4 linked regions of the Schizosaccharomyces pombe genome follow. The gene in region 2 interacts genetically with the main gene of each other region. Each region holds a gene or a part of one and is shown on either strand. Other genes may lie near its edges.

The links.
Region 1: mutations in jmj2 (region 2) and oca2 together harm fitness less than expected from each alone (positive genetic interaction), as found in Schizosaccharomyces pombe (one large-scale study listed by BioGRID).
Region 3: mutations in jmj2 (region 2) and dis32 together harm fitness less than expected from each alone (positive genetic interaction), as found in Schizosaccharomyces pombe (one large-scale study listed by BioGRID).
Region 4: mutations in jmj2 (region 2) and nud3 together harm fitness less than expected from each alone (positive genetic interaction), as found in Schizosaccharomyces pombe (one large-scale study listed by BioGRID).

The regions. Positions count from the first base shown.
Region 1 is NC_003421.2:756,450-766,297, forward strand, and holds oca2 (serine/threonine protein kinase Oca2), read right to left. Parts: upstream 6,176-9,848; 5' UTR 4,405-6,175; coding exon 2,452-4,404; 3' UTR 1,919-2,451; downstream 1-1,918. Other genes in the region: protein Emc6, read left to right, coding at 916-975, 1,057-1,312, 1,402-1,412; heterotrimeric G protein beta subunit Gnr1 , read right to left, coding at 9,721-9,848. UniProt on the Schizosaccharomyces pombe protein: Overexpression causes cell cycle arrest.
Region 2 is NC_003424.3:1,803,768-1,811,485, forward strand, and holds jmj2 (histone demethylase Jmj2), read right to left. Parts: upstream 3,031-7,718; coding exon 883-3,030; 3' UTR 781-882; downstream 1-780. Other genes in the region: transcription factor TFIID complex subunit Taf11, read right to left, coding at 6-605; bouquet formation protein Bqt2, read right to left, coding at 3,503-3,635, 3,716-3,875, 3,951-4,014; SPOM_SPAC1002.07C (N-acetyltransferase Ats1), read right to left, coding at 4,475-4,609, 4,661-4,771, 4,863-4,893, 4,940-4,974, 5,033-5,151, 5,399-5,474; RNA polymerase-specificity factor Mtf1, read right to left, coding at 6,256-7,356.
Region 3 is NC_003424.3:4,269,053-4,277,770, reverse strand, and holds dis32 (3'-5'-exoribonuclease Dis32), read left to right. Parts: upstream 1-3,641; 5' UTR 3,642-3,690; coding exon 3,691-6,474; 3' UTR 6,475-6,879; downstream 6,880-8,718. Other genes in the region: protein Csc4, read left to right, coding at 1-119, 189-401, 454-618; SPOM_SPAC2C4.09 (uncharacterized protein), read right to left, coding at 985-1,027, 1,091-1,477, 1,527-1,747; SPOM_SPAC2C4.08 (uncharacterized protein), read right to left, coding at 1,869-2,600; rcm1 (rRNA methyltransferase), read left to right, coding at 6,900-7,035, 7,097-7,155, 7,217-8,404. UniProt on the Schizosaccharomyces pombe protein: 3'-5'-exoribonuclease that specifically recognizes RNAs polyuridylated at their 3' end and mediates their degradation.
Region 4 is NC_003423.3:3,228,236-3,234,232, forward strand, and holds nud3 (nuclear movement protein nudc), read left to right. Parts: upstream 1-3,156; 5' UTR 3,157-3,285; coding exon 3,286-3,786; 3' UTR 3,787-3,845; downstream 3,846-5,997. Other genes in the region: serine/threonine protein kinase Ppk24, read right to left, coding at 1-52; meiotic septin Spn7, read right to left, coding at 645-925, 968-1,080, 1,120-1,631, 1,783-1,876, 1,927-2,008, 2,053-2,257; yap18 (ENTH/VHS domain protein), read right to left, coding at 4,069-5,972.

The sequences.
Region 1 (9,848 bases), on a different chromosome or scaffold from region 2:
ACTCCAACCTTGACTGAAAACCTTGATTTCATTGATGTGCTATAGGATATTGTAAAATAAAGTAATTAAAAAATTAGCAATTCGCTTTTGGAATTATTAAATGTTTCCTTTATTATTGAATTCTCATATTTCTGCTTGTTTTTATTTAATGTATCGCAGCGTTGGTATGCAAATACATAGTATTTGATCATAAACATATTAACGATACGTTAATTTGCGGTGGATTATACTGTGCTATTTAGGTATACAATTTTTGGTAAAGAAAAAAGTGATCGTGACTGAATGATGAGAATAACTATTCTATTGTAAATAAGAAATGAAATTCGCTTTTCGTTCTCTTGGAAGTATAAGCATGTCGCTTTTACGAATGTTCACGAGTCTCTAATCCTTTCGGTATACTGTAAACAATCTAGTATGTAACGTTTCATCCACCATTTTCAAGTTTTAGAATTAGAAAACCAGTAATACAGGAAATATAAGATGATACTTTTTTCTAAAACAAATAAATATGAAAAATCGACCTTGATGTAAAACGAGAACCTCTTTTAAACAATGCGATTTCCCAATATCCTAGTAATTAGCCCATTTCTGTTCAAAAAAATCAAATGGAAAAAAATAAAGTACTCAATTGTATTGAATAAACTATTTCACCCTCCAAACTAGCCAACATTCAGCCCAAGCAAAAAGTAATGCTTTTTCCCATATCCATATCGCTTGTAGCTTTACATGAAAGATTGGCAATTACGCAGTTTGCAAAATGCTTTTAAGGATACGTCAAGCTGCGAAAAAATTACGTTCCTACTAAGTCCTTATGTAGTTAATACCGCAGTATAAAGATGCGTTATCCATCATTTTTTGGTTATAATTCTACAAGCGGTGAACTCAACTAAACATCAGAATTGTTCATAAGCTAATATGGAAAGGGATAAAGGCGTCGCTCCAATTGTTGTAGAAAATGTTGCATATAATGAACAGGTAAGAAATGATTGCAGAGCTAGATTTTCTTGGTACTAGTTTTTTTAAGGATTTTATAATTGAGTGCTAATGAATCCAAAGGTCGTTTCTTTTGTTCGAAACTTGACTTCTAGTTTTTTCGGGTGCGCAGCTGGTATTTTGGGTTTAACTTCATATGAAGGGCTTGCTCTGTATGTACTCGGTTACTTCTTCGTCTCCTTTCTACTCTTTGCATTGAAAATGCGTGGTAACTTAACTAAGTATTACCAGCCCGGATATAAGTTTTGGATCGCTAAAATATTAGATGGCGCACCTTCTTATGTTTTAACTTGGACATTGTTCTACAGTTTAGTATATGGTAAGAAACTTGCTCGATCGTTGCTATTTTATTTTGTTTGAATAGTCAGATCTCGCATTGAAACAATTACACGCTAACTAAGTCATTAGTTTATGAGTAATGTGTTTAATTTGATTTATGCATTTGGCAATTAATCCAAGATGAACCCTCCTTATTCTTGTTCAGCCCTTTCGTTAATAACACATATACCTCATTAAGATCTATTGTTTGAGAAAAAAGTGGATCTCTTCCTTTTGTTCGTGAACCCATCCTATAAATATTTTGTATTTCCTAATAAAACACAAATCTAACTGTTTTTTTACATTTCTTTACTTTTCCTATAGAAAATAGGATATTTGTTTAAAATATATTTGTCCTGTCAGCGATGCTAGAACATAGCACACACATTCCGTTGTATTCATGTCGTCTTCCTTAAATTTGATTTCGAAAACTTTGCATGAGATATGTTCTACTTCTTTAAGAAATTGTCTCTAGTGCTTAAAAACTAGCTGCTTCAGGGCACATGGATGCCTAGGCATTTATTTTTTGAACACGTGTTTTACCATTATTATACAGTTGAAGTAAACACTGCATATATTCAATATTTGCAACAACTTTGACAACGGTTGAAAAGGACAAAATATCATATTCAAACACGATCTTTGAAAATTTTGAGACTAATGAATTGTATTGTATTATCTAAACTTACTAAAAAATGAAAACCAAATTCAAAGATGCGACAATTTTACATTTATTTTCAAAATTGTAGAGATATTTTTAATCTACCACAGTAGATTTCCCCTATTTACCATATAAATAACTCATAAACAAGCTAACCTCACAAAGACAATAATAATAATATAATAACCAAAGAAAGAAAAAAAAAATCACCAACAATCATAAAGTTGAGCTGATAAAAAAGGGACTGACTATTAAATAGAGGAGATTATAGTAAGAAATTGAAATGTCCCTAATAATCAAAGAATAAAGTATTTTTTAACATAAAAAAAGTCTGAAAAGAAAACTAAGTTACACCGTCAACGATTAAGAGATTAGCTCATTAACAAGCCACCACATTATTCATTTTTTGGTATCGTTTAACAGATCACCAATATCCAAGGCGACTTTGTAAACAAACGTGGGAAAGACAATATAAGTTTTTAATGCTTTGCAGGTGGAGCAGGTGACTCTTCTGAAGCCACCAAATTATGGACATGTGTTGGAGAATGAATAACTTTACCATTTTCCATATGGCACATCGAAATATCATTAATCCAATTGTCTGCAAAGACCCTGTGAATGTCGTAACGCTTAACAGGATCCAACTCCAACATATGAGCTATAACAGCACGAGTTTCTCTTGGTAGTAGGCGCAAAAGTCTCCAGGGTCCATACAACTCTTGTTTATGAGTTGAAGAGTTATCAGTTTTAGAGTTTGGACTATGTGATTCATCGGTTTTTCTAATAGGTTCGCATCCTTGCTCGACTAAGCGCTGTTTTTTTATGTCAGCAAGTATATCACTGGGAGACTCAGCATCATTTGAAGGCTGTTTCATACAAAACAAACGGAAAGAATTGTCTGAAAGCTTGGGATATTTCCAAGGAAAGCGGCGAAGAGCCATACAACAGAAAATAATGGCGGAGGACCAGATATCCACTGCACGAGGATCATATAGTTTCCGGACCAAGGTTTCTGGTGCAAGGTATGGATCCGAACCGACAACACCAGTGGCCTCAACGATATCGGCTTCAAAGGGGTATTTGAAAACGACAGCGCTACCAAAATCAATGATTTTAACAAAGCAATTACTATCCACAACCAAATTATCGAGTTTCAAGTCTCGATGCGCCAAACCCATCGAATGTAAATAGGCAACACCTGAGAGAAGTTGTTTGAAACAACAATAAACTTCAGGCATTGTCATCTTACCACTCATTACGATGGAAAACATATCGTATGGAGCATATTCCATAACTTCATAGAATTTTTTATTTTCCTCAACAATATCAAGGGTCTCAATAATATTGGTATGGTGCAAAGCACTACCAATACAAAACTCAGCAGTAACCTTTCTGGCATATTCACGCTCGGTTTCAGTAGGCCTTCTTGCACGGAATTCTTTGACGGCGAAAATTTTACCATCAGAAGATCGCTTCATAATACGGACAGAACCGCCTGCACCAGAGCCAAGCATTCTTCCAAATTTTCCGTATTTTTTGAAAAGACCGAAATGATCATCTTGGAGGTTAGCGGAAGATTTTGACTTGGAAACAGATGGCTTTTTCTCCTTGTCTGTCTTTTGATGGGATTTGAAAAAGCGACGAAGATCTAAAGAACTATGATGTTTTTCGTGCTTGTCATGCTTATCATGCTTGTCATGATGATTAGGAACAAGAGATTTCAACGATAAACTACCAGAGTGTCCATGATGACCATGCTTTCCATGATGAAGACCCAACTTTCTGAAAATGAACTGTGAAGGGATATCATGTGGATTTGTCTTAATAGGAGCACGGCGGGTGCGTCGATAAGGATCGTTGGGATCGCCGACAAGGTCTTCTGAAGAAGGGTATGCCTGAAAAATGGGGGAGCGATGATGCTGAGTGTTAAAAGAGCCTTCATCAGATTCGCCTTCACCACCACTGCCGCTGTTTTGTGAAAGAGCAGGAGAGGTGTAACCAGTCGAACCTGAAGGTTTAGGACTAGCAGCATGTAAAGCATTTTCAGTACGAGGGGGAAGGACGGTAGAAGAATTAGCAGAGCCATGATAATCATCTTCATCCTCAGAGGTGATAGCGGAAGGGGGAATGGAAATAGGTTCGAAGTGACGTGCAGCAGATGAACGATAACGATCCTCGGCAAGTTTAGGGTCAATGTGATTCTTTATATGGACGGGGGATTGAACTCTGGGAAGAGGATGATTCATATCATCGTCCGTATCAGCGTGCTCAGAAAAGTCGACAGGATGCAAACGCTGAGGAGGGTTACGAGGAGGACTCGTTATTTTTAATTCAGTGTCAAGTTTATTTTCCAGTGAGGAACTGGAATTGTCTGATTTATGATCGCTATCCCCATTAAGGTTAAACTGTACATTGGGAGGGGTGACAGACATGTTCGTAACGGCAATCATGTGCAATTGTAAAATAAAGAAACAAAAGAAATATTCTAGTTCACTGAAGAGCAAACCACCGGTAAGATTAGAGAAAAAAGTGTTTTACAATGAACCAAACAACAAGTGGAAGGTTTGGTAAAAAGGTAAAAAACAGGGAAGAAAAAAGACAGAAAACTTCAGAATACAACAAGGAAAATACAAAAGAGAAACTTGAATGAACTCAAAGGAATGTAGTTGTTAAACTATTTAACAATACAAGTTTTCAAGTACGACACAAAACAATTGCGTAAGAAAGTACGATTCAAAGAGGCAATCTCAAGACGGAGTGAATGGGAACACAAGAAATAAACAAACACGTCAAAGAGAAAGTAGAGAAAAATCAAAGATTTTTGACAGATATTAGTTTGTAACGGAGATACTGTCAGACGAGATGGGAAATTGAGGAAATGTCAAGCGAGTTTTTTTTAAAACAACGGATGACAAGGGAAGAATGAATAAATAAATATATAAATAAATAAATTCCAAGTAAGAAAAGGGTTGAAGAGAGAAAAGAAATAAGTATTTCCTAAGAAGATAACTTTTTTTTGATGGGAAATCGAGCGCTGACAACAACGAATTGGTTATTGTTTATGGAAAATTCTTTGGCGCAACGACAAAGGAATGAGAGATTTCAAGAACAAAAAAAAAAGGAAATAAGGAAGAGGGAAAAAAAACAATACTGGAATTAATTGGGAATGGGGAACCTTTTTATAGGTATATCAGTAGATATTTTCCAAAGGGAGAAATTCAAGGTAAAGTGAGCCGACGAGACGATCCGATCGATCACGACACACAAAGAGGAAAAAAAAGAGGCTTTAAGAAAAGCACACAAAGGAAATAAAAAAAAAGAGAAGATAAAGAAAAAGTGTGAAAACCTTGGGTTCAAATAAAGTATGAAAAATGAGAAATGAATTGAGATTACGAAACAGGAAATTCTATGTATTCATAGAAAATAGAACGTACGTAAAAACAAAACAAAACAAAAAAAACAACAACAAAGAACAAATCAACCCAAAAAGGGAATTCGAAAGAATGTTGATTGAAGGAAGAATACCAAGGGGGAAAGAGAATCACACAATTCACTCACTCACTCACTTTCGGGATACCGATCACACCAAATAACGAAACGGAAGAAGCCGGAAAGAAGGGAGTGGAATAGGAAGGGTGAAGGGACGAATGGCAAATTGAGTAGAAAGAATTCGACTCAATGAGGATGGATGGATGGATGGAAAATTAAGGGAATTGGAAAAAAGCGTAAATGAATAGAAAAGTTGGAAATTGATTTGTTGTTTTTCAGAAGAAATCACAACAATAACAACAATGTTTTGATGGGAAATAAGATCTTTATGCTTTATTCAATCTTTATTTTTTCGTTTACTTTCTCAAAATTCTTTCAATTCCTGTTTTACCCAGAAAAGAAATCAAAGGCAGATAGACCAAAGGGAATCAAAGCAATGCAATGGACAAAAAAAACTTTCGTTTTTCGTATCGTATCGTATGGTTTGATTTGCTTTTGCTTTTGCTTTGTTGAGTCAAAGTTGTTGGACTATGACTGACGGGGGAGTGAAGTAGAGCTTTTTAGTATAATTCAAATCTTACAATGAATTTTTTTATTTGCTAGTTTAAAAAAAAAAAAAAAAGACGACGAGAAACAGGTTCAATTCCTTGATAAAAAGGAATCAATCAATGTGGCTCTCAACAATACTATGAAAAAAAGTGGATGGGAAAAGGCAAAAAGTATTGCGGTGCACGGCAGGTGTATATAATATATGTATACGAAACACGCAGTCTACTACAGCATCTCCCATGTAATCTCGAATGGCCGCTCTACATCAACTGCCGAGTCGCATTGGATGGAGGAGCTAGCAAATCCACACGATCTCCGGGAATCCCACCCATGCAAGTGCCGAAGTATGATGTCACTTTTAGTTCGGCTACAACGTGTTACCTCCGGCGAGCGACTCCACAATCCGTTGCACCGCGCTAAACGCTGAGAGGAAGAACGAAAGGCTAAACGCTAGCAAGCAGGGGGGATGACGTGGGGGAGGGCGAAAGGGAGTTGAGTGAGCGAGACAGGCGGTGTGTGGGGCGAGAGAGGGGAGTAGAGGGGAATAGCGAAGAGGAACGCGACCTCGTTGGGGAGAAGGAGAGCGAAAGAAGGTAGATGGGGGGCGATTGAGAGTCGAAGGAGGAATTGAGATGGGATGAAAGGGAGAGGTTAAAGATGAATAACGTATAAAAAAAGAGATTGTTATAAGAGATAGAGAGATGGAGAGAGCTAAAGAAAAAATTAAAGAGGTGGAAGAGTAGCTAGAGCTAAAGTGTTGAAATTAGCTAAAGTATGAAATTCACTAGAGTGTGGGAAATGTAGATAAGTAAATGATGATTGACATGTTTCATTCAATACTTTGTATCATCATTTGTCAGGAAATTAATTCCGTTGATGTTATCATTTCATCCATCTGCCATGGTCATTGCTTCGTGCGACCGCCAGTCGCTTCCTTTTCCATTGAATTTGGATCCGACCGTTTGGTGGAAATTTGGCAGAGGATCAATCGGAAGGAATGATCGGGTTTATTAAAGTTGAAGGAAAGAAGGGAAAAAAAGTTAAACACAAAATAAAGTAAGGAGGAGGAGGAGGAGGAGGATGAAAAAAAGAAAAGAAAATTTCAGCAACCCAAATCTAAACAAGGGGAGGGGGAAAAAAAGAGCGGCAGTAAGCAAGAGGAATGGGAATTTAATTAAAGAGGAATAGTGATTTGATTAAAGAGGAATAGTGATTTGATTAAAGAGGAATAATAATTTGATTATAAGAAGAATAATAATTTGGTTCAATTCAATTCAGTTTGATTCAACTCTTGTTGCTTCTCACTTGCCTTTCTCTCTCCTGTTTATTGCACACACTATTCCTCGTTTGTCATCTCGCCCATCCAGCATCCTGACAATGACACTAGTACGAGGGAAAGACATTGGAGCATTTCTAGAGCAAAAGCAAAAGCAAATGCAATTACAATTACAATTACAATTTTATTTTATTTTTATTTTTATTATTATTTTATTTTATTTTATTTCGTTTAATTTAATTTAATTTAATTTAATTTAATTCGATTTTATTTATTTTCTTTTAATTTTTCCTTTGTTTCCTTTTCTTTCACGGCCGCCCTACAAAATTTTCTTCTTCCTCATCCAAACAGTCAGACGGCCGAACACAAAACAAGAGCAAATGCTAGATGCTCATGAAAAAGTAAAACTAAACTCGATTGACTTTTGAGACTATATGCACATCAGCCTTTCCTTTTGTTTGTTTTTTTGTTTTTTTTATTCTTTTGTTTTGTTTTTCTTCTCTTTACTTTTCTTACCAGCCCTAAAATTCTGTGGGTTTGTGATATCACTATATTTCGTTATACCACTCTTTTAATGACATCTGTATATCTCGTTATCTTCATCTTTTCAGTGACTTCGCTGTACCTCTTTATATCCCTTTGCTACTTGTTTAGTTAGTTGGTCTAGTTTTTTGTAGCATTCGTTATTAGTAAGATCCTTTTGTGGCTTTGTTTGTACTTTGCTTTGAATCGAACGGTTTTTCCTTTTATTTTTTATTTTTTATTTTTTATTCGCTGGCTATATTGCTTCAAACCATTTCTTACATTCGAATGGTTTTTTTGTTTTTTAAGCATAAAAACATATAACATTCACTCTTTGACTAGAATTCAAAACAATTGCCAACATCTTTTTGATTTTTCTTCTTTTTCTTTTCCAATCCATCAATGTTTCTATCAATGTCTTACAATTCTCTCTCTATCCATCTTTCATCTCATCTTTTTCTTCCTCTTATTACAGACAGACACCTTCTTCGCTCACTCTTTCCTACTCTCTCTCTCTCTCTTCCTTTGGCCGCTCCACGTTTCATTCCATTTACCGGCCTTCCTTATTTCTCGGTAATGGTTTTTCCGATCGTCACGGTATTGCTCTTGTCTCTTTCTTTACCCACCTTGGCGCGCCCTCGGCACTTGACTTGACTTGATTGCCGACAAAGTCAAGGTGTAACATAATGGATCTGCCCCATCAAACTTTTTCCTTCCTCCAATCGTTGGCCTTAAATTTACTTTTCTTCCAATAAGCTTTTCATCTGCGTTTAAACATTTTTGCTTCGGTTGATGCATCTGACGTGCTTGGGTAACACCTTTTGCTCGTTGGAAGATTTTGCACTTGGTTTTCAATTTCCGCTATACTTTTGTTACCGGTCTTTATCATACTTGCACTATACAATATTATCGCAAATATTTAACGTCTCGTTGGTTTCGCCGAAGGACCGCCCCGCGGCTGTCTCGGTTCACTCTCCAACAGTACTCCAGACTGTGGTAACGTGTTTGTATGCAGCGTAGAAGGATTTGTTTATAAGATTTCAATCTTTTTTCTTTTTCTTTTTTTTTTCTTGGTTTTAGAATTTTTATTTTTATATATTTATTGATTAATTGATTTACTTATTGATAGATTGGTTGGTTCATTTTTTTTCTTTCATCTTTTTCCAATCTATATGTATGTGTATATAAATATTTTTTATTTTATTATTTATTTTTTATTTATTTATTTTTTTCATTTCCCTCTATTTATTCACTCCGGATCACTTCCATCCTTATGTTATTTTAAAAAAAAATTTTTTTTTTCTTGTTCTATACTTCTGTTTATTTTCATGTCCTTTTCATTTCGTTCAATTAATTTCATTCCATTTCCTTTTCTAATATTTTTTTTCCTTTGCGATCGCTACCTTTTCCATACATATCTTGTTTTTTCCTCCATAGTATCCACCTTGTAAAACAAAATTCAATTAAATTGAAAAATTAATATTTTTAACAAATTTTTGAAAAGTTCGAAACTGCTGATTTACAATTTTCATCCATTCTTTGCTTTCCATTTTCTCCATTTCTCCTCTACTTGCGACACTTGGAAATCCATGTATAACCGAGTTTAAGGTTATTTAATAAGCGAATGTGTAGTTTTATTAATACAAAGATTGTTGCGCTCTTATAATCAACTATTTGCATAAAATTCATCTCTTTTATTTTTTAATTTATCATAATCTAAATAATGAAACCCCTCAACATGTCTGAGGACTCCTCCTGATTGCGAAAAAAACACCCATTCACCAATACACCAATTTAGAACCGGTTTTCTAATGTTTTTCTATTAATAATCAAATCATCCTCATAAAGTTCTTCCTTCAAGCTCACCATTTTTTATTTTTTCAAGTATTCATTCATTCCAAATTTTGCTTTTTCAATCCATCCAAACCTGTAAAGCCGAAACCGTTCCTGTCCAAAGATCCTTCTCTTTACTTTCATCCTCTTCTTCACTTTCATCCTTCTCATACTTGTAAATTCTATTTCCATAACATACACACTTTA
Region 2 (7,718 bases):
TAAATTCACCGAAACAAATGACTAACATGACGGCTCTGTGGATAAAGCCTCCGATTTTGACGTGATAATCTATACGCCTCTCGTAAATGATCAGGACTCAGTGGACCAGTATCCCCCCATTGATCTTGAATCTTTCGAGCTAATTCAACGATTTCTCCAACAAACACCTTTGAAAATCCTGAGATCACAATAGCAACATTGGGGGTTACACTTTGGTTTAAAATTTGGTTAGCCAATTTTTTAACATTGGTTTTATTTAAGTTAGCACGACGAAACACTTCGTATCTTTGCATTTGCTCTTCATCAAAACTCTCTAGAAGATATTTTGTGCGCAATTTTTCATTAGCTTCGTCGTCCGTTTCACCAGGTTTTCCAGCAACTTTTGAAATAGCAGCTGTACCAAAGTCATCCCTATCGTCTTCTTCCAGATCATTTTCTTCTTGCCGATTCCAATTCTCTTTTTCTTTTGATGAGGGAGCAGGCTCAGCAGCAGGCGATGCCGTATTTGCCTTTGCATGAGCTCCTGCTGTAGGAGAATTAGATTGATCGTAGCTCATCGATCGCTGAAATCGAGGTACTGAACTCGCAGAACCAGTTCGTTTCATATTTATCCCTTCTATCTTCAAAAAACTGAAGAGCTCTAAATGTTTAAAAATTGGGTTTGATTTTGTTATGCAAAGTGAGAATGTACAAGAAGTAAATTTCACAGGTTGGAAACTGCTTCATACATAAGCAAGTACACTACGCTTCCTTAAACGTACAATACTATGATTATAGTCAAATTGTTTACATTACATGAATCCAACGATGTTTGTAAATGACCTTGAAAATATAGGTTTATAAATTGCAAAATAATTGTTTTAGAAAAGAATAAATGTAACTTTAATAACTTAGCAACTTCTGTAACTCATTATCGTCGACTTTTAGGCGTAAGGTCTTATTGCTTAAATCGCACTTGCAAAGATATTCGATGTGTAATGGACATACAGTAATCGACTTGCAAGAACAAGCAACTTGAGAGAAGTATGAAAATGCTTTGCAATGCTGGCATTGCCAATTTTCGGCATCCTCCATTAATTCACGATAAAGTATTTCCTTTAAATCATAGCGTCCTCGTATCATGATACGTATACCTAATTCACGTTTGACAGCCTCATGCACCCAAGGCCTTAGCTCAGACACACTTATCTCTGACGCCGGATTTGTCGCTAAATTGTAAACCAACATATCATGTGAAAGTACAGGAGGTTTAAGAAGTGACTGATATTTCAAAACGCCATTCAAAGAGAATCCGTTTAGTAACCAATCTTTGGGAGCAAAATTCACTGCCTCATTAATGTTAAACCCATGATTAATTCCTGCGTGAAAGCTTTTTGGAAAGGTAATCACGAATTCATTAGGCCCCTGGTCGATGAAATAAACATCGACACCTCTTTTTTGTAGCTCATCAGGGTTGATCATTGTAGCTAATTGGTAAAGCAGATCTTTTTGTTTTTTTACCAAATCAGGAGCAATATCAAGAGCGGCGCGTTCAAACCTCTCGGCTTGATCACCTGGAATTCCATACCATAATTTTGTGTCTCCATAATGTTGATAATTTACGGAATAAGTATAGTTATCCTCGACATGCCAACAAAAAGTTGAAAAACACATTCCAACGTACAGCCACGGACAGGTTATACCTGAAACAGGATTATCTATATAGCTTAATAGAGAACCATTTGTGGATGCTATAACATTTAAATTCCATGTGTCCTTAGAGTAAGGATTCACTGGATTTTTGGCTAAACTAGGGAAGGCGCTGCCCTGATCAAGGGTTGATAAATCTGCACCGTATTCCACTTCAAGGCTTGTATTATTGTCTTTTACGAGTTTCCAATACTCTTTTTCAACAATATCCTCAGTTATCTCCGAGTCTTTAAATTTAGAAAAATAATTTTTCTTAAAATTGTCACAGTATTTTTCAAAGTTCGATAAAGTATAATAATTCCCTGTTTCAAACCCAAACTCATATGGATTAATTATACATTTAGTACAATACGCTTCTTTACACGTATCTTCGACTTCACAATTGACAGGTTTGTGACAATTGTCACATAAGTGGTTGTTATTCGTTGACAGAGAGCTCAATCGTCGCTTTTTATTATGTGAGTGATTATCATTTGATCCAAAATTATCGGCTGGCATATATTGTTGTTTAATCTGCTCATTTCTCTTGGATTCTTGGTTTTGAAGAATTCCTACGGACTCATTAGTTTCGGGGTTAAATTGTTTAGATGTCTTCTGATCTTTAATACTAATATTAGAATGTTCGTCTTTTGTAAAAAATTTAGGGAAGAGATCAGTTTCAAAGCATTGATCCTCAGAGGTCTGATATTTTCTGACGAAATCCTCAAATGGAAAAATATACCTTAAATACAAGTCACTTGCTTCCTTTAATGATGCATTAGTAAAAGGAATTGAAAGTTCTCGTAAAATCCTTTTCCATACATGAACTTTTAATTCCTTCTCACTTAGAGATGCATGAGAATCAATACAACGCATTAAGCTGTATAAGTCGATAGACGTATTGGAAATAAAAAATGATTCCGGGAGCTCCATGCCCAGATTGCAAAAAAAACGGTAAACGCGTTCATCGTAAGAGACTATTTCACGAAATCGAAGATCCATCATATGCAAATCCTGCCGCCGAGTACGGAAGGAAAACTTGTTCATGTCAAGTTGCATCGGTGGATTCCAACCAGCAGGAGGAACGATTTTTATGATACCATATTTTTCACCGATTGGAGCTATCTTATTAATATAACCGATAGAGTCCTGAAATTCCTCTTTATCAGGATAAAAAACGGGAGCAACTGGAAGTCCATGAATGGATTTGGAACGCTGTTTTCTTTGTCCGGTATTTTTTGACATAGAGGATAAGTTATTTCCCCGCGTATTCATCCCATGAGGTGCAGGTTTTAGTTTATCTGTAGCATGAGTGTATTGTACAAAAGATGGGGAAGTTTGATGAAAAGTAGACTTGCTCATGTTTCCTATGCAAATAAGTAGATAAATTAGTCCGAATGGTGAGCGATTCCAGAAAAAAAAAGTTATTATAAAAAGAATTAAAAAATAGAGAATAAAAAAGAAACGAAACGTAAATGAGAAATAATAAATGGAAACAACAGTTTTTAAACTCGGACTTAGATGAAGTAAGTTTTTTATGTTTATGCAATGTATACTTGTTCAATTGTCCATTGAAAAGACGTAAGTGTCTTTATGGGATATAAATAAAGAAATTAGGTAAAATTCGAAAATAATCTTAGGCTAATAGCATAAATAGGCATTAAATTAATATTCGTAACGTATGGTTAAGTGAAGGTTGTGACAACTTCAGTTGACGATTTTGAGAGCTAAAGGAACGATCATTAAATTATAAAGGATAGAAAAAGGAAAGGTATTTTTCACAATTAGCATAGAATTTACAATCGGAACAACGCCATATCAGCACCAAAGCATTTCAAGGTAATTCACCGTTTAGAAAAGAAAGCGTGGATGGCAGAGGCTGTAGATACACTGAACGTATTCTGTGATCAACATATAAAGGTTCCATCACGTTCAAATGAATGACAGGTTCAGAAACGTAACTTTTGCTAATAATGGTGGTTAGTACTTGCCTTGGTAAATGATAAGATAAACTATCAATGCAATATTTAGTAAATTTAATAAATACCTTCTGGAAACAGCTACTTGCTCCGCAATCCACCAAGGAGAACGACATTGAACTGATTTGTAATTTGGCAAGCGGACGTGCTTTCTTAGATGCATTGAAAATGCATAATCAAAATTTTCATAACCTTCTGCTAAAAATTTCGCTTCTCCGTTGTGTAATTCTATCTTTAGTAAGAACAACTGAACCATAAATCATTCGACAACAAACAAGTGCACATCAAACCTTTAAAACTTACGCCATAAAGCAATTAATGCAGAAGGTACGGTTTCATCAAAAAAGGCGCACTTTCCTTGAAACATTGACAGGCAAACTGTTGTAGGTAGTTGGTTTGTTTACAATTGCGCGCGACGCGTTTCGAAAAAGAAACACAATAAAAGATATTCAAGAATACTAACCAATACTTTCTTTCTATTTTTTAATACACAATAAGAAGCCGATTTGATGAATTGAAAGGAAAACGATCAAATTAGTTTTATAGGAATTAACATTAGAACAATATACCAGTTCTAATAATTTACTTTGCAAAAAAAAGGATTCTTTATTTTTTAATTTTAAAAAATGTAAGATGTAAATTGATATCGTATTTTTTGGTAAACGGGAAATAACCTAAAGACATTGAAATGACCGCTTTAAAACGAAACTACAAGATCCAGGATCTTTCAATCATAAAAAATTAATTTTCCTCTTTCCAGTTCAAGGTTTCAAAGGTATAACATATCATGCTTCAATTTTTTAGAGCGTTAAGTATTGGGTATGAGTTTAAAAGTTGCCGGGAAGTTTATCAGCAAGAGCCTTTAGGTTCTCGCCGGTGACTCTCATCATACTCCATCCTCCAACTTTTTGTGCTCCAGCCTTTTCATAGACTTCAATGGCTCTCTGGTTCCAATCAAGGACCTAGGGTATTAGTCAAGGTATAAAAAAAGAAATGGGTTATAAACAACTTACAACCCAGTCAAGACGTCTGCCACCAATTCTAAGTGATTCTCGTGCTAAATAAGACAGTAAGTAGCTTCCATATCCTTTTCCACGGAATTGGGGTCGAACATATAAGTCCTCCTAAGAAATTGAATGGTTAAAATCTTGCTATGAAATCAAAAGTTAATCCTTCAATAAAAAGGTTATGAAGGACAATATGATAAGAACATACTAAATAAATCCCCACTCTGCTAGTCCACGTGCTATTCAACGTCAGCTCATATATTTCAAAACGGAACTTTTCACTACCTAAAATTTAGGAAATATATAGCCATTCCTGCGGGCTGATGGCAATTATAGATTAGTAAAAAAGATCAAGCAAGTTTACTTTTTTTTACGAACCTGATCATTTTCTTCGATGAATACTCCATATGCCACAGGAGTAACCTCGTCAATAAATCCAAATGCAACTTCTAAATTCGGAATTGTCGCTTCCACTTGATCTTCACATTTTTCAAATTCTTCATAAACAAAATGTTAAAACCGGTTTTTAAATAGTAACACAAACTGATCTGATAGCATGCGGACAGAAGTAGAGATCGACCCTGCTGACGAAAACCATATATTCTCAAATCCATATAAAAAGCTTAAGAGTAATCTCCAATTCAATAAGAGAATCAGACCCTGTGAGTCTGGGATACTGGCAAAAGCTCTAGCCTTTTAATAGAATCTACACGACTTCGTCCTCTTGGTCATAACGGCGCTTACCTGCCAATTCTTTAATAAACTGATAAACGGTCGGAAGATCTTCTTTAATGACAGAGCGAATGCGAACTGAACCCATGTTTTGAATTAATTGGTTTACTTGGTGTGCAGTGCTAACAGTAAATAATATGCGTGGCCTAATGGTAGTTTATTGTCTAGCGCACTTTAAACTGATGAGATCTCATCATATTATTTTTGGAATGCCAAATACGGGTAGAAACTAATCTAGTATGTTCCATTTACCTTTTTATGTTTGGGAATGAATAATCCGCTTTTCTACTGAACGATTATTAAATACTACCTTGAAAGCTAAAGCAACTCATAATAATGAAACATTAATTCAGTAAACAATTTAATAAACAGCATGGTATAATAAAGAATATTATAATAGTTTTTCGAAGTTATGGTATTTGTATTAATTAACATCTAAAAAAGTTGAAAGATGTAAACTTCCATTTAAAATAGCTCAGTTAAATCCATATTGCATTTATGCACTTTCCAAAAAAAAAATGATACCTGAGACTATGAGAGACATAAAAGAACGTAAAACAAGCCTGAACGGAAGCTATCCACTTAAATTGAATAAATTAGTAATAGATTAAGCAAGCATAAGTTATTTTAAATATGGTGATTAGAATGAACGCGTGTCTCAACGCAAACAAATCCTTTAATGATGTAGCGAATATGGCACAGGCAAATAAATGAAATACAGTGGCCTCAGAACGCAATGAGTAGAACATGAAGTGGAGAAATGATAAAAAAGAGAGTGGTTTTAAAAAACCAAAATTACTGGATGCAAAGAAATGCGTGTATGAACAAAAACAATCAATACGTTTGTTTCCCCCAATTTTCTGTAAATTTTATGAATCTTCAATTATTGTACCCAAATGTAAATGATGTTTGAAAGGATATTTTTGTATAATTTTTGAAATGGTAAGAAAGTCGGCTGCACTCAATAGTCCAACGGGCATATCGATGTTAATCCCACATTGGGTGAAGGAGGGTAATAGAGTTTCCGCACCTGGGCCTAAATAATAAATGGATTTTGAAAGTGATGTTGCTTTACATGTCAACAGTATCCTAACAATGCTTTCAAACACTGGAATAGACAATTGTTTATCTTGTGGTTTGGAGCACATTTCAACCAAAGTAAGGTCCTCTTTATGCGGTTCACTAGTAATTGGCGTGGGTGAAACTAATAAAGGATTTGGAGAAATTTGATAATTCTCCTTGGCCTCTTTACTATACCCCATACATAATTTTTGCAATGTTGACTCGGAGGCAGCTAATACACGAGAGTCTGTAAAGGCCTCTCGGAAAACTGATGTCTTGGATCTTTTTGAAAATCCCCTACTTCCAAGAAGAGTAACAGTAGGAGAACAGGGCAACCATAGCAATACACGAACTCTTCCAAAAATGCCAAGCCAATCCCTTGCCGAGAGAAAGTCTAAAATTTGAGAAACAAATAATAACCCGGCATAACCATGAGGAAGATGAGCAAAAAATAAAAGTTCGCGATGTGGTGATAACTTCTGCTCCTCTTCTGTTTGAATACGAGGATCCAAAACCTTCGAAACGTACACATCTTCGTAAGTTTGCCAATAATAACCATCTTGATGCACCCACTTAATCCTTCCATCAGAAAGCGTACACAATTTTTGTAAAGGTTTGGAAAAAACTTCCCGTGATTCTAGCACAACGTGACTTTTAGGTTGGAAGTAATTGAACAGCGAAGTGGTAGTCACTCCCGGTCCCGGTGCCATTTCTAAAATAGTCATTTTCTCCGAGTTGTATTCCTTAAGCAGATTGCTTTTCACAAGCGCTTCATCCATCAAATTCTGATTCACAAGATACGATGACTTATACGAAGAACGACCGTTTAGGTTTAATATCTTAACAAACCCCGTGGATCTTGGTCCTCCAAATGCAGCTGCGTCATATAAAATTTTAGGAAGCTTCATATTGATTATTTTAGCAATTGATTACTTTCTGCATAATTCGTATAAACAGTCCAAGATTGGTCAAATGACCTGTGATATATTCAATAACGAAAAATTGAAGACATTAATTTTTTTTCTAATTTTAAAAAAAGATGTCACCTTTACGCTTGCTTTCTTTTTCTGTTCATTTAAATGTGGTTAAACAACACATTCATATGCGCATTGTTCAGTCTAAAACATCACCATGTGCAAGTTTATTTAATGCTCGGCTTTAGTTAATTCATTCATAAACATTAACGAAGCCCATCAATTTTACGCAATACGAATTATGTATCCTGGTCAAATACGGTATTTCCAAGTAAACAAAACTATAGAAGTTATAG
Region 3 (8,718 bases), 2.5 Mb from region 2:
CAGAGCTTCATCCTGATGAGCAACATGTATTTCTTCAATGTCTAAATAAAATGCAAAAAGAGCTGGATCTCAGCTTTGAGCGATACGAACGGCTATTTAAAACTACGCAAGAATTACAAGTATGTACATTTGAAATTGGTTTATTTAACCTATTATGAATGATTAATTTTAACTGTTGTAAACACTAGGAAAAAGTGAAATTCTCGTCTTCTCGATTTTACAATAAGGATTCGACTTACTCTAAGGATCAAGGCTTAGCGAAAGAATCCGCTGCTCTAGAGTTGCAAAAATTAAAGCAAGAGAATGTGCTACTTCGTAAAGACCTTAATAATTTGGAGCAAATCTCGGATTGCTATGCAAAAGGAATGGATGATATAATGAAACATGTGGCTACGTATACCGTAAGAATAAATTTATTTACCCTCGAACATTAAATTAACCAAACCTATATAGGCAACGATGAATGAAAGGATGAATGCTTGTCATAAAGAGTACATAAAAATGTACGAGGCTTTAGCTAGCGAGCGCAATTCCCTTTATAAAATTAATGAACAGAACGTACAATCTCTGAATAAAGTTAAAGAATGGCTTTTGAAGAGCCTTGAAGAAGAGCCATAGTTTCTAAAAAAGGATTCCAACACACCTTGAAAAGCTTCCCAATTTGAATTTGCTCAGAATGACCATTAACTGATTTAATATGGCAAACCAAGTTCTGACGGTTTTTATTTACTCCTTCCCTCTCTGTTTATCGACACTAGAAATATTTATGATGATATTTTCTTTGATTGTCGATTCGTTACTTGTGCTGACTTGATTTCAAAATGTGACAAAGCTGTTTGGATATACTGGCGTGTGAATAATATTCTCAAAAAAAAAAAAACATTCTAGAGATAACATGTAATTATTATATTTCCATTAATCTAATATTCATTACATAAATTCATCAAAACATTAAATGTACTTGACCGTACGACGTTGAATGTTCTAAATAATAAGACGGACATATGCAAGTAGTAAAGCTCCAGACCTTAAGCGAATACCGTTAGAAAATAAAAATTAGAAAGTTTAAAATTCTACAGTGAAAACATACCCTGTGACAATTCCAAATACCCATTGCAGAGTTTGTGTTTTAAAGCTAGCCAATTGTGTACGAAAATTTGACATTTCGGTGTCAATTTCCGCAGATAGTTCACGCAACTTTAGGTCCTGTGATGCTGTTTCGTCGTAATGGTTTAATCGATCTATATTTAACTGTAATCTGGCCTCTGAAGTGGAATTATTTAGTTGATCACGAAACGATGTTTTGAGTCTCTCAACGTCAGAAAATAGCTGCTCAACCTGCGAGTGCAAAGCGACCATTTCTTGACGCTCAATACTTTGTAATTCACTTCGAAGATGAGCGAAATCCACTTTTTGCTGGTACATTACACGGTCTTGCTGTTCTTTAGTAACCGAAAAATCACTAATCTTTTCATGCCTACAAAAGGTTAGGATTGCACTCAATGGGCAAATGCTATTGCACATACATGTCAGAATACACATTGGAAATTAACCGCATGAGTGTTTCAGATTTTTTATCATCTATTCCAGCTTCCTGCAATACACGAACGAACCTCAACGAATTAAAGCCGTGATATTTCCGATAGAAGCCATTAAGGCCTAAGGATCGTACTTTATGTACAGTTCTAGCTCGAAATAAAGGTTGGAACTGATGGTATATACTATTGCAAGGAATCTTTAGATACATTGGATCTTTCAACCTGTCCTTGAGTGGGTAGTAGGTGGGAGCAGAAATTAACGCGCAAAAGCAATAAGTAAAAAGAAAGTTATATCAAGTTTTGATCAAGGCAAGTATAAAAAAGAATGAATTAAAAATTAGACAACGTGAATTTGTTAGTCATTTCTCGAAGGGCTTCTGAGGTATACCTCGCATCGTTGCCGGCATTGTGAAGACAAAAAGCTCGGATGTTCAAGTGAGTGAGCATTTTAGCAAGAGAGATGTTGTTGGAATTTGAAATTTCTTTGAGGAATAAACTTTGAAAGAATGAGAAAACGTTCTGCGTATCAAGAACCGTGACATCCTTTGGAATAGGTATTCCAAGGACGTTTGCATACTTTATTTCGTTTTCCACTCCGTGTCCTACTAGATGTAGATTTGGTGTTTTCAAAATTTTTTTCAGAATACTTATAAACGCAATTTTTGTCACAATCTTGGAGTCACCAAATTGAAAGTTATCGGCTTCATCTGGAACAAATCGACCGTTGCGTAGATGTAGAAAATTCTTAATCCTGTAGTGGTGGTAGTCCCATTCTCCATTAATTCTCATCGTAATCCCAGCCTCAGTTATGATTTTCTGGTTGAATTCATATGCCTCAAAATCAATTACCAAAAAGTTACAACTTGGGTTGGAAACGGCTTGAAATGCTACAAGAGCTTCACCTTTGGCTCTAATTAATTTCTTTTCAGCTCTTTGAATTGCTGCACGTCGCTTCCGCTCTTTCCTTTCTGCTTTAACTTCTTCTGGCGTCAACTTGTAACGAATCCGTTTTTGCTCATGCCGAGAAACATTTACAGCTTTTTTTGCTTGCAATCTGTTCATCTCAGAGATAGATCTTAAAATAAACGGAAAGGGGAATTCGTATGAAAGCAAGTACTAGTGATAACTTAGAAGAGGTAAACAAGTAGCTTCTAACTTCTCTAGCAATGGCATGTGTAATTTCAAAGTATATACTAGCAAATAATCCCAAATCCTTATGTTGCAAAAAATAATTATCGTTAATTTACTATGATTACTTTTTCAATTTATAAATGGATTTTGTTTTGTTAAATATCAATTATTCTTTGTTTACAATCAGAAAGTGTGTTTAAAATATATATTCCACTGTCAAATATCTTCGTTCAGTCATTTCCATCTATTCAAAAATTACAAATATAAGACATATTTCAAATTACCTGAAAAAGGCTTCAATTTTTAAAGCTACGTGATTTTTTACATCAAAAAATATTATTGAATTTAACAGGTGACTCTATCACGGATTTCACTTTGTTAAACAGCTTTTAGGAGGTTAGCATTTGTTAAAAAAAATTTTATTTTATTTTATTTTTTTTTTATTTCTTATTAATTGACTGAAGAAATACTCCGTCTCTTAATTTGATTATGAAATTTTTTTTTATTTTTGGGTATGGTTTCTTTTTTTTCTTTAATTGCAATTACAAAAGTAATTAAAATTATGTTAGTCTTTATGACTTCTCAATTGCCATCCTTTAATAAATAGATTAGTATCAACTTTTGAACGAATCTAATATTACAATTGCAAGTTTAGATCGATTTACTAAGCTCTTTCAGTACGATACAAAAAAACAAAAAAGGAAGCAAGAAGTATACTAAAAACCATACACTTGCAGATATTTGGTTGAGGAAGATAGAAAGCTATGTTTTTTGGATGTATAGTTTATACGCCCTTTATCAATTTTGAAACTGTAGCTTAGTATAGAATGAAGTAGTGTAGATATTTGAGCGAACGTCAAGACTATCAATTTTATTGATTTCCATGAATGGTTTAGAATTTTGCATTTAGTATAAATTATTTCATTTATTTTGTTGCCCCTAATATATCTCCTAGTTGCGCTCAGTGAATTTAACAATTGCATGCCTTAACTCTACTACCACCTCCATATTTTCACAAAGTATGGATTTAAAACCAAATATTAGAAGAAAGGAAAAGCGAAATTTATTAAAGGGAGAAGCTGCTTTAGAAAAAAAAGGCTCTATTGATAGAAAGACAAAAAATAAAGCATATCCGTCTACTACTCACGATCCTCATCAAAATGATGATTCCAACATTCCTGGATTAGGAAGTGGACTATTGGAAAGGATCAAAGATATTGTTCAAAGGCCAACAGATACCCAATTAAAAGGTCAAGATTCGAACCATAAGAAAGCCAGCTTGACTGAAACGAAGACCGAGAAAGCCAAGGTTAAACCGAAGGCAAAGAAGAAAAACTCGAAGGAAAAAATCTCTAAAAGTTCTAAGCAGGATGAACATAAAACCGACGTGCATAAAGAAAGTGTCTCGAAACTTTCCAAGAATTTGGAGTCCAGAAATAATCGAGATGAAAATTCCGCGAAACGAGAAAAAAACAATTCTCATCAAGTTGAAGCAGATACGAATAACGCCACTGAGATGGTATCATCCAATGCGAAAAAGTCAGTATACCCGTTGTACTACGACTCTGCAACGGTTAAAAAAGGATTAAAAAGTGGTACATTATTTAAAGGAACGCTTCGTATTCTTGAAAATCATCGTAGCGCTTTTGCTTGTATGGAAGATATACCTGATTTTTATGTTGATGGGCCAATTGCTAGAAATCGTGCTTTTCACAACGACGTTGTAATTGTGGAACCTGTGATGAATAATGACAGCCCCACTGAAAAATCGAATTTTTTACAGAATGGTGTCGAGAAAGTCAAAATAAAAGATCATGACGATGAGTTAGGTGGAGCAATGGAGCATTTGGAAAGATTAGAAATTAAAAGTGTTGCAAGCTTCAAAGGTGATAGCAGAACGAGAGCTCGTGTTGTCGCCATTGAGAAGAGAGCGGAAATTTCTAAAATTGTAGGGATTTTAAGAGCACCAGGTTGGTCATTAAAAAATGTAGAATATGTTTCCAAAAAATCCTCGTACGCGATTTTCATTCCAAAAGATAAACGTCTGCCCTTTATCACAATTCACAAAAATGATTTAAGCGATTTAAGTGGTGAAAATTGGATTGAAAATATTTTGAAACACCACGATCAGTTGTTTTCAGTTGAGATTACAAGGTGGAGTATTTACTCTCGTTACCCTATGGGTGTATTAGGTGAAAAGCTGGGAAATATTACTGACGTGGAGGCTTACACTAATGCGCTTTTGCTAGAAAATGGAATTAGTAGCTCTCCCTTCTCTGATGAGGTTTTAAACTGCTTGCCTCCTGATGATTGGATTATCTCACATGAGGAAATAAAAAAACGAAGAGATTTAAGAAATGAGTTAATTATTACCATTGATCCTGAAACAGCTCGTGACTTGGATGATGCTGTTTCCTGTCGCGCTCTTGACAATGGCACTTATGAAGTGGGTGTCCACATCGCTGATGTTACTCATTTTGTAAAACCAGATTCAGCATTGGACAAAGAGGCAGCTTCGCGGGCTACAACAGTATACCTTGTGCAAAAGGCTATTCCGATGCTTCCTCCTCTGTTGTGTGAACGACTTTGTTCATTAAATCCCAACGTTGAGCGTCTTGCATTTAGCGTTTTTTGGAAACTCGACTCCAATGGTAAGGAAATTGGTAAGCGTTGGTTTGGCAAAACAGTTATAAAGACATGTGCCAGACTTGCCTACAGTGAGGCTCAAGGTGTGATCGAAGGAAAGTCCTGGGATGATGCTGTAGGCAAACCGATAGGAGGTACGCATACTCCAAAAGATGTTGAAACGTCTATATTAACACTTTGCGAAATTTCGAGAAAGCTTCGCAAAGATCGATTTGCTAAGGGCGCTGTAGAGATTAACTCGACAGAACTCAAATTCCAATTAGATGAATATGGAATGCCGAATAAATGCGAGGTATATGAGCAAACCGATGCAAATCATCTCATCGAAGAGTTTATGCTTCTCGCCAATAGATCTGTTGCTGAACATATCAGTAAAAATTTCTCCAATAATTCCTTGCTTCGTCGCCATGCAAGTCCTAAAGAGAAACAAATTAATGAGTTTTGTCACTTTCTAAAAAGCATGAACTTCGATTTCGATGCATCGTCTTCAGCTGCATTTAATGCCTCTATGGTACGACTCAGAAGCACTTTTAATGAAGAATTGGTAGAATTATTTGAAAATATGGCAGTTCGCTCGTTAAATCGTGCTGAATACTTTTGTACTGGCGATTTCGGTGAGAAAACAGACTGGCACCATTACGCTCTTTCATTTAATCATTATACCCATTTTACTTCTCCGATTAGAAGATACCCTGACATTATTGTTCATCGTTTATTGGAACGTAGCCTTAAGAACACATCCCCGGGTATTGACAAAAAAAATTGTTCGTTAGTGGCTGCACATTGTAATGAAAAGAAGGAGAAATCCACCACTGTGCAAGAAGATAGCCAGCAACTCTTTTTGTCTGTATATATTGCTGAGTATTGCAAAAAGCATGATAAGAAATCTATGCCAGTTCAAGCATTTGCGACTAGAATATCTGGAAATTCTATTGATGTCTATATCTCTGAATATGGAATATCCAACAGAGTAGACCTCAGTTCAGATGATAGAATTAAAAGTTTTATAGTTGCTCCCGATGACTCCTCTGTTAAAATTACGTTGTTTGATGATTCTCAAAAGACTATAGCTCTTACGGATCGTTTCCAAGTTTATTTATATTCTGATTACAGTCGTACATTTTTCAGTATTCGCTGTAGTCTAGTTTCTTTGAATTAAAGGCCTAGTGTTGTTTATGAATTTTTGACTGAAATATAACTTTGTTAATTTTGGGTCAGATTACCTTTTATTTATGATGCATGCCACCTATTGAATGGTTGTTCACGTTTATCCTACACATTTTAAAACGCTTATTATTATTACTATTATGTTTCATGGATTATGACAATTGAATGACTTTGTTATGCCCAGACGACTTATGTTTGATATATTTTTCTCATTCGTGAGAGAAACACAATTAAAATAAAAAATTTAACATCAATAAGAAATTTCTTTAGTTAACAAATTCACTTTGGCTGCAATTGTTGAATATTTTATTTATACCTATACATACAAGTAACAATAGACATTGTGACCTGAGTAAGGTACTCAGTTTTGTGCAGCAGCTTTTCCACTACTCATACCGAGGAGGATCTTGCCTCGATATGGATTTTTATAATCATGCTGCCAACATACTTTCAGATTTAAGTAAAAAAAAAGGATCAATTAAGCAATTAGCATTTAATTCAAAAAAACATGATCCAAAACGCACTTATGCTTTGGTTTGCGAAACTCTCAAATGTAAACAAGAATAGTAAAACTTTAATATAAACGATTTGACTAACTTTCTTCTTTTATATAGATAAACCTGTTTTGGATGAAATAATTGCGCGATCCGAGTTATTAGTTTTAGAGAAAAAGGTACAAATTAATGAAACGATAGTTGTTTCGTAATTTTTTGAAGCTAACCTGGTTATTGTAGTTAAAAGAAAATTTGGCTAGAGTCCTTGTCCATGATTTACTGATGTCAAAGCGAGGGTTATCCATTTCAAATGGTCCTATCAAGGAATGCATTCTTCGTCACAAGACACGCCTGAACGCCGAGTTTGTCAAACTCAAGGTGAAAAAAGGGGTTAAGAGCCATGAGGAGCTGGCATTGAAAAATCCTGTGTCGCTCCCTCGCTGGCTTCGAATAAATACCATTAAAAGCACAAAAGACGAGGTTTTGCAAGGTTTAGGCTTGGATAAAGTCAGTTCAATTGAGGAACTGGGCCCCGACAAATTTTATATTGATGATTGTGTTGAAAACTTAATAGCCATCGATCCATCATTTCCTATAGTTGAAAATTCATTGTACAAGGAGGGGAAAGTGATTATTCAGGACAAGGCATCTTGTTTTCCTGCTGCTGTATTGGCCGGGCTAACTGGTCACGTTGGTGATATAATAGATGGATGTGCTGCTCCAGGGAACAAAACTACTCATTTAGCTGCTTGTTTTCCAAAATCTCATATATTTGCATTTGAACGTGACGCGAAAAGAGTGCAGACACTTCGAAAAATGGTGGGAATATCAGGCGCTAATAATGTCACCATCGAACATCAAGATTTTACCCTAACTGATCCCAAGAGTGATCTTTACCGAAATGTCACTCATATCCTGCTTGATCCTTCTTGTTCTGGTTCTGGAATTGTGAGTCGTCAAGACTATCTGCTGGGTAATGAACAAGACGTTACGGAAGATACCGAAAGACTTGAAAATTTGTGTAGTTTTCAGTCTACCATTTTAAAGCATGCTTTACAATTTCCTAACTGCCGCCATGTCACATATTCTACATGTTCAGTGCACCGTTTAGAAAACGAACAAGTAGTATGTGAGGTTTTGTCGCAAGAACCTGACTGGAAATGTAACTCTTTGACAAAAACTCTACCCAACTGGAAAACTCGAGGAATTCCAGAGTATTGTGCTCAACCTTCAATGGCTGAAGGAATGATTCGGTGTAAACCAGGAGCCGGAGGTACTATTGGTTTTTTTGTAGCCAATTTGTATCACCCTCAAAGAGAGCAAGAAACTTTCAAAATGTATAAAAATGATGATGATACCAAAAAGCGTAAGCGCAAAAAGAAAAAGAAGGAAGTGAAGAAAAAGGCTCGCATACAAGGTGAAGAGTAAATTCATCAAAGCATTAAGACAAATTATCGCATAGCACTTATTCAACAAAGTGAGAGAAGCTATCGTTGTATGATCTCAATTTCTATAGACAATTTTTTGTGTTTTTGGAAAACACACATATTTAATTTTTTTTTCTTTACGGCTTTGGTTAAGGACTGGATACTAAAAAAAAATACACATCTTACGGGGACTAATCGGAAATGGATATTAAGTAGGCAAGATAAGTAATCATTAAATTTGAGCATTAACTAAATGAGCCTGAGGAAATGATGAAATTGTATTTAAAGGGATTACTAAGTCTTTTTCGCTAACCT
Region 4 (5,997 bases), on a different chromosome or scaffold from region 2:
CTGAATTGTCCACGAAAATTGTCCCCTGGCGAAAAAAAGGATAATTAGTCATTAGTGACAAGCCGCTGAAGCTAAGAAGCCTAGTTACGACTTCAAATTGATTGATTTTTTATGTACTTCTTCTTTATTTTCTTACTAAAAAAAGAGTGTTTTCAGAACAACCTCATCATTTATTCTGTTTAGATAAAGAGTTACGTGTTAGCAACCTCAAAATTGCATAGTTGTAATCATAACGTCTTTGAAAGAAACGAAATTTCCAAAATCATATGCTCACGAATGCCTAAATCGATGAACGACCGTTTACGCATCTACGACTCAACCTGAAAGACGTAATGATGAGCATTGGATTGATTCGACTCATTACTCAGTAATCAACAGTTAAATGAATTTGTAAATTAATATTTTATTTAAAAATACCAAACGAGACGTTCGGCAGCCCTCAGTTAACTCATCGTTTCAAGTAGGTCATAACAATGCACGTGTGGGTGCGGTAATCTAGTAGTCTAATGAATGCTTATGTTAAGGACATAGGTAGAGAAGTAGGTGTATGATTAAGCAATTAAAAAGAAATCAAAAGACTTTTCATGAACTTATACTAAATTATTCTTTTGATTGTTTATAATTTGCACTCTCAAATGTTTAATTTAGCGATAGAAAGGGAGGTTTTCGTAACGCTCATGAGACAAATCATCCATTTTCTTCATCTCCAATTCCTTTGTCGTATTGTTGGGTAGACTGTTTCGACTTGATGTAGTTCTGTGAGGAAATTCCTTTGGCGATATTACTTCTAATCCAATTTGTTCACAGTTTAATTGATTAGTTTTAGTTTTAGTATTTCCATAAGAATCGCATTTAAGACTGCTGGTGTTGTCAACTTTGATGGAGTTAATTTTCTTTAACTCCTCAGATTTTGTAGAATCGGAGACTGCGTTCATTAGCACGAAAATGAGAGAATGCATATACTTACCATTAGTTCGCATTTCTGATTGATCAATCGAAGATCGAGTCTCCGTTCTCTCAGAACCATTTACACTTCTTTTATCTTCATTTGCAACTATGGAATTTTGCTTTTGCAATGACCTAACTTATTAGCTCGCTTATGCATAGTTAATTTCTTACAATGATGTGTTCGAAGGTGAGTCGTTGGACAGTTTTTCTGTACGATAATTCTCATAATAGGTTTGTTTAGTTATACTTTTGAGTATATCCAAATGAGAAATAAACAATACGGTCTTCAAGTTAAGAAAATCAGAATGTGCAGGATCATCAATTACGAATGTTCCCCATTGGAATTTCTTGACGATTCTTTGATATCCTTCTTCATCTTCCTCTGATACCCCTCCAGATACAGCGAATGGAACACTTTCCCAAAGTCGTTTGTTATCCTCAATGACTTCGTCTTCATCCTCCTCAGGATCCCAAGGAAAGTCAAATACCTTTATGTTACATTGTTTCAAATCCTTCATTATCACATCTTTGAAGTTCTTTAATTCTTCTTCAGTAAAAGCGTTGGAGTTTCCAATGACAGGAATTACGTTTACGCGCTTTGAAAACCGTTTCATGGCTTCCAAATCAAACTCAGACAGGCAATGTCCACGGGGTGCAATAAAATAAAGTAGGGCATCAACGCGCTAAAATATCGTTAGAAAACTTTTTTTTCATTCCTCATTCTTAAACCAATGTGTTCTCTTGGTTTTCTACTTAACAACATTAAATCAAGTAATGGAAGTAACTTGATTGAAATAGTTAAGGACGGAAAAACTTTGTTTGCAGATTTCGTACCGTATCAGTAAATTTAGAATTTCTTTTGATTTTAGATTCTTCTATCAAGGCTTGATCGAATTGGCTTTCCAAATAATGAGTAACTACCTCGAAACTAATGCATTGAAATTAGCTTTAATTTAGAAAAATACCTTTTGGTATTACCTAGCTGAATTATCAATTTTATCTCCGAAACCATTTACTTCAATGACCGTAAGGTCAACATGGAACTCATCTTCTAAAATATCTAATTACAGTTAGCACACGAAAATTAAAACCGTAATAACTCACCAGCATTAAATTCCCTTATTTCCAGTATTCTATCAATATGAGCTTTTAGCGGATCTATCTCTGTTTCAGCTTCCAGTATTTGTTTACTGCACAAGCTATTGATACAAGCTTGGTAACTGGTGTAGCTAGATCCTGCTACCATTATGCGAAGCTTTTTTCCCTTTTTTGATAAGAATTTTGGACGATGTCTTGGGCCTTTATTCATCTTGAAGTGTTTGCTGTTGGAAGAACTTGGGTTTGTTTGTTTACTGCTTAATAAAGGCACCGATACGTTGGCAGTATATCCATTTCGCAAACAAGGAAAATCCAGAAGATTTCTTTATACAAAACTTTTCAATAGTACTTTTAAATATAGTTTATATTTTTTCTTCCAGTATTCTTCTCTAAATCATTTTGTGCCTTAATCATCTTCGCATTGTCCAAAATTTAAGTAATTTAACCTTTGACCTTTAACGAGCCCTCTGTTCATTTACTGAGTTAAAATAAGGCGCTGATATTTTGCATTAATTCATGAGACTTTCGAGTTTATTTAAGCGACAGCAATTGTTAAAGGAATCATAATCATGAAAACCCAATTCCCATGCTTATTTTGCATCTACCACACAAATTTTGAATGATTGCAACAGTTGTACCTTTCGTTGCTACATATAACTTCGTAAACATAATGATGCTGGTAGATTTTACATAACGATGTTCGTTAATGTTTTAATGTTATGATATGCTTGTTGTGATTTGCGCCATAGCCCATATAAACGGCTTTGAGCAAATTTCATAATAAATTGAATTGTTCCTAAAACTCGGTTTATTTGCAAAGCCTAATACATAACTTGAGTTACACCTTCCTCAAAAATTGAAGTTTTTTTTTAGCGCAACAAAATTCTACTTTTTAAAAAGTGAAATCTTTAACTCTAGAGTATTGTATAAAAATCGAATGTTAGTAAAATAAACGTAACAGAACACAAGTAAAAGTTACAGCCTGCGAGTTTGCACGACTCTCCACTGTGTGCACCGCAAACCATCAAACGTTAGCTCTTTAACGTAGCGTACAAACTCGTAATCTTGAAATTCCGGTTTATGAAGTCGGTAATTAAATATACATTAATCAAATCTAGCTTCATTTTTTAGGCTCGTAAAAGAATTTGATTTGCTTAGCCAAAAACGAGCACATATTTAATAAAATTACAAAGTAATCAACCGATTACGAAAAGCGTGAGTTGAGCTGCAGGTTTAAGAATGCATCAAGTAAAACTCGAAGAGGCCGAGTACGAGTGGGATCAAACAATAGCCGATGTTGATATTGTCATCCATGTACCCAAAGGGACAAGAGCGAAATCCCTCCAGGTAGATATGTCAAATCACGATCTCAAAATTCAAATCAACGTCCCAGAACGAAAAGTCCTTCTCAGTGGTCCACTCGAAAAACAGATCAATTTAGATGAAAGCACCTGGACTGTCGAAGAACAAGAAAGGCTTGTTATCCATCTCGAGAAATCCAATAAAATGGAATGGTGGTCGTGTGTTATAAAAGGGCATCCCTCAATCGATATAGGCTCAATTGAGCCCGAAAATTCAAAATTATCTGATCTAGATGAAGAAACAAGAGCTACAGTTGAAAAAATGATGTTGGAGCAAAGCCAAAAGCGTACCGATGAACAAAAACGAAAAGATGTACTGCAAAATTTCATGAAACAACATCCTGAACTAGATTTTTCAAATGTTAGAGACCAGATTTGAATAGTTTCATGATTTTATATATGTATAATTACAATTGTTACAAAACTTTCTAAGCTCTATTGATAAAAATGTAGAAATTTCTGGTATTTGTAAAACTGATAGTACAAAGAAGGTATAAACAGCAAATCGGCATTCTTTTAAACTAGAAATAAATCGAGAAAGTCTTGGATAAAGAGCGAGTTAGTATAATAATATTAATAAATGGGTCATTAGCTAGCCAGCAATAACTTATGCATGATTATATACAACGACATGATGGGTGCATTGACAACAAAAACAAACCTAACTTCGGAACGGATTTTTAGACTCCGTCGAAATTGAATTTCTCGCTAAATCAGTTGGTTCAGCCAATTCCCTCGTTGAAAAGGGGTTTTTAGATGCGGTGTACGGTGTAGACATCGGCCTTTCAGGAACATCCAACTTTTGTCCAATATTAACTGGGGAAGCCGAATGGCCATGCGTGAACCCATTAGGAGAATGTTGAATAAATCCAGGAGACCCTTCAGGATACATAATGTGAGCAGGGGACGGTAGCGGACCCCTTGAGTCTTCCATGGCAGGAATCATAACAGGATACTGCTGATTCAATACAGGAATATTTGGCTGTAACGGTATGGTAGTCGGTTGTTGCTGCTCAAACTGCATTCCTTGATAAGAGGGTTGCCTTAAAAAGTTTTGAAAAGGATTGGTTGTTGAAGGATTTACAGGATTATTTTGAGCATACATGTTAACTTGGGAAATATTCAAAGCAGTGTTTGGAGAAGCTCCAGTTTGTTGCATCCCATTCATTGTATATTGTATGTTTGCCATCTGATTTCCAGCCATCTGGGACAAGAGTTGAACTTGCTGTAATTGAGGGGGGATTGGTTGTGGGTGATAAGTTGGTGAAGAGCTGTTGTAAAAAGGGTTGAGAGAGTCATTCGGGTGACTCGGAATAGGCTGCACTATATTAGTACTTTCAGATTTTTTATCTAATGAAGGTGAAGCACTCGTTCCTTCAGCGCTCAAATTGTTTCGCTCCCTAAGCATTTCATCGACGAATGAAGAAGCAACGCCTAAAGAAAGAGAGAGATCGCCAACCTTGTCTTCAAGCTCGTTTTCCGATTCATAATTTGGTACTTCTTCTTCCTCCTCTTCCTCTTCTCCTTCCATCTCTTCTTCTTTTATTTCTTCTTCTTGTGTTTCTATACGGCTAGTGGTTCTCTGGGTTTCCGGTAAACTTTTTACAGCTTCCTCTTCAGAAGACGAAGCTTCTTGTTGAACAGTGTTTTCTTTCTGTATAGTTGAAGAACTTTCATTTTGCTTTTTGGGGATGCTTTTCTTCTTTCTCAAAGTTGGCTTTCTATTTAGAATAGCGGTTTCTTCAACAGGCGATCCTGACTTATTCTGAAGATACTGTTTACGATTTTCTTCAAAATCCGGATCATTGAGGTATTCTTCCAAAGATGCAGTTAAGCTTATAGGTGCATGTTTAATATTTGGAACAGGAAACTTTGTAACAAATTCTAAAGATCGTGCCGTACTCAGATAATTGATGATATCCTCAGTTTGATTAACGAATGTTTTGTAAATGCGTAGAGATTGAGCTGCATCATGATGACCCATTTCAAAATAATGTTCCAAAACATTAATAACGCCTATGTTAACCGCTTTAAAAAGGACAAGTAAATCTCCTACTAGTAGACGAAAAGCAGTGATGGCAATATCATTGTCAATCTCCTCAGCAACAAACTGACATTTGATCAATCTCCTCAACTGAGCTTGTATTCCCTCTACATTCCTTAAAAGACCATTTTCAAGTTTCATTTCACGAATTTTTTTTTTGGGAGCATCACCCACTTGAGCATAATCTACTCCGAGACGGCCATATTGTTTCGCTCGTTCACTTAGAAATCTGCTATAGTTGTAAATGTTTTTTCCTTGTGCCAATAATGATGAGGCCTTGAGTACTTCTAAAATTCTTGGTCTTTGCGATAAGGCAACTATAGTTGTATTCGGAGCCCCTTCTTTGAGCATGACATGGAAAACGATGAGAGTTTTAAAGACGATAGTCCATGATTGTTCTTTTAGTCGTTCACACAGTGCTTGAATTACATTTTCCAAAGTCTCTGGATCTTCTGTTGTAGCTTCCAAAATTATCTCAACATGCTTATATTTTGGTGCAGCGAGTTTAACCTTTGTAGCCTCTTTTAAAAATGTTGTTAATATGGA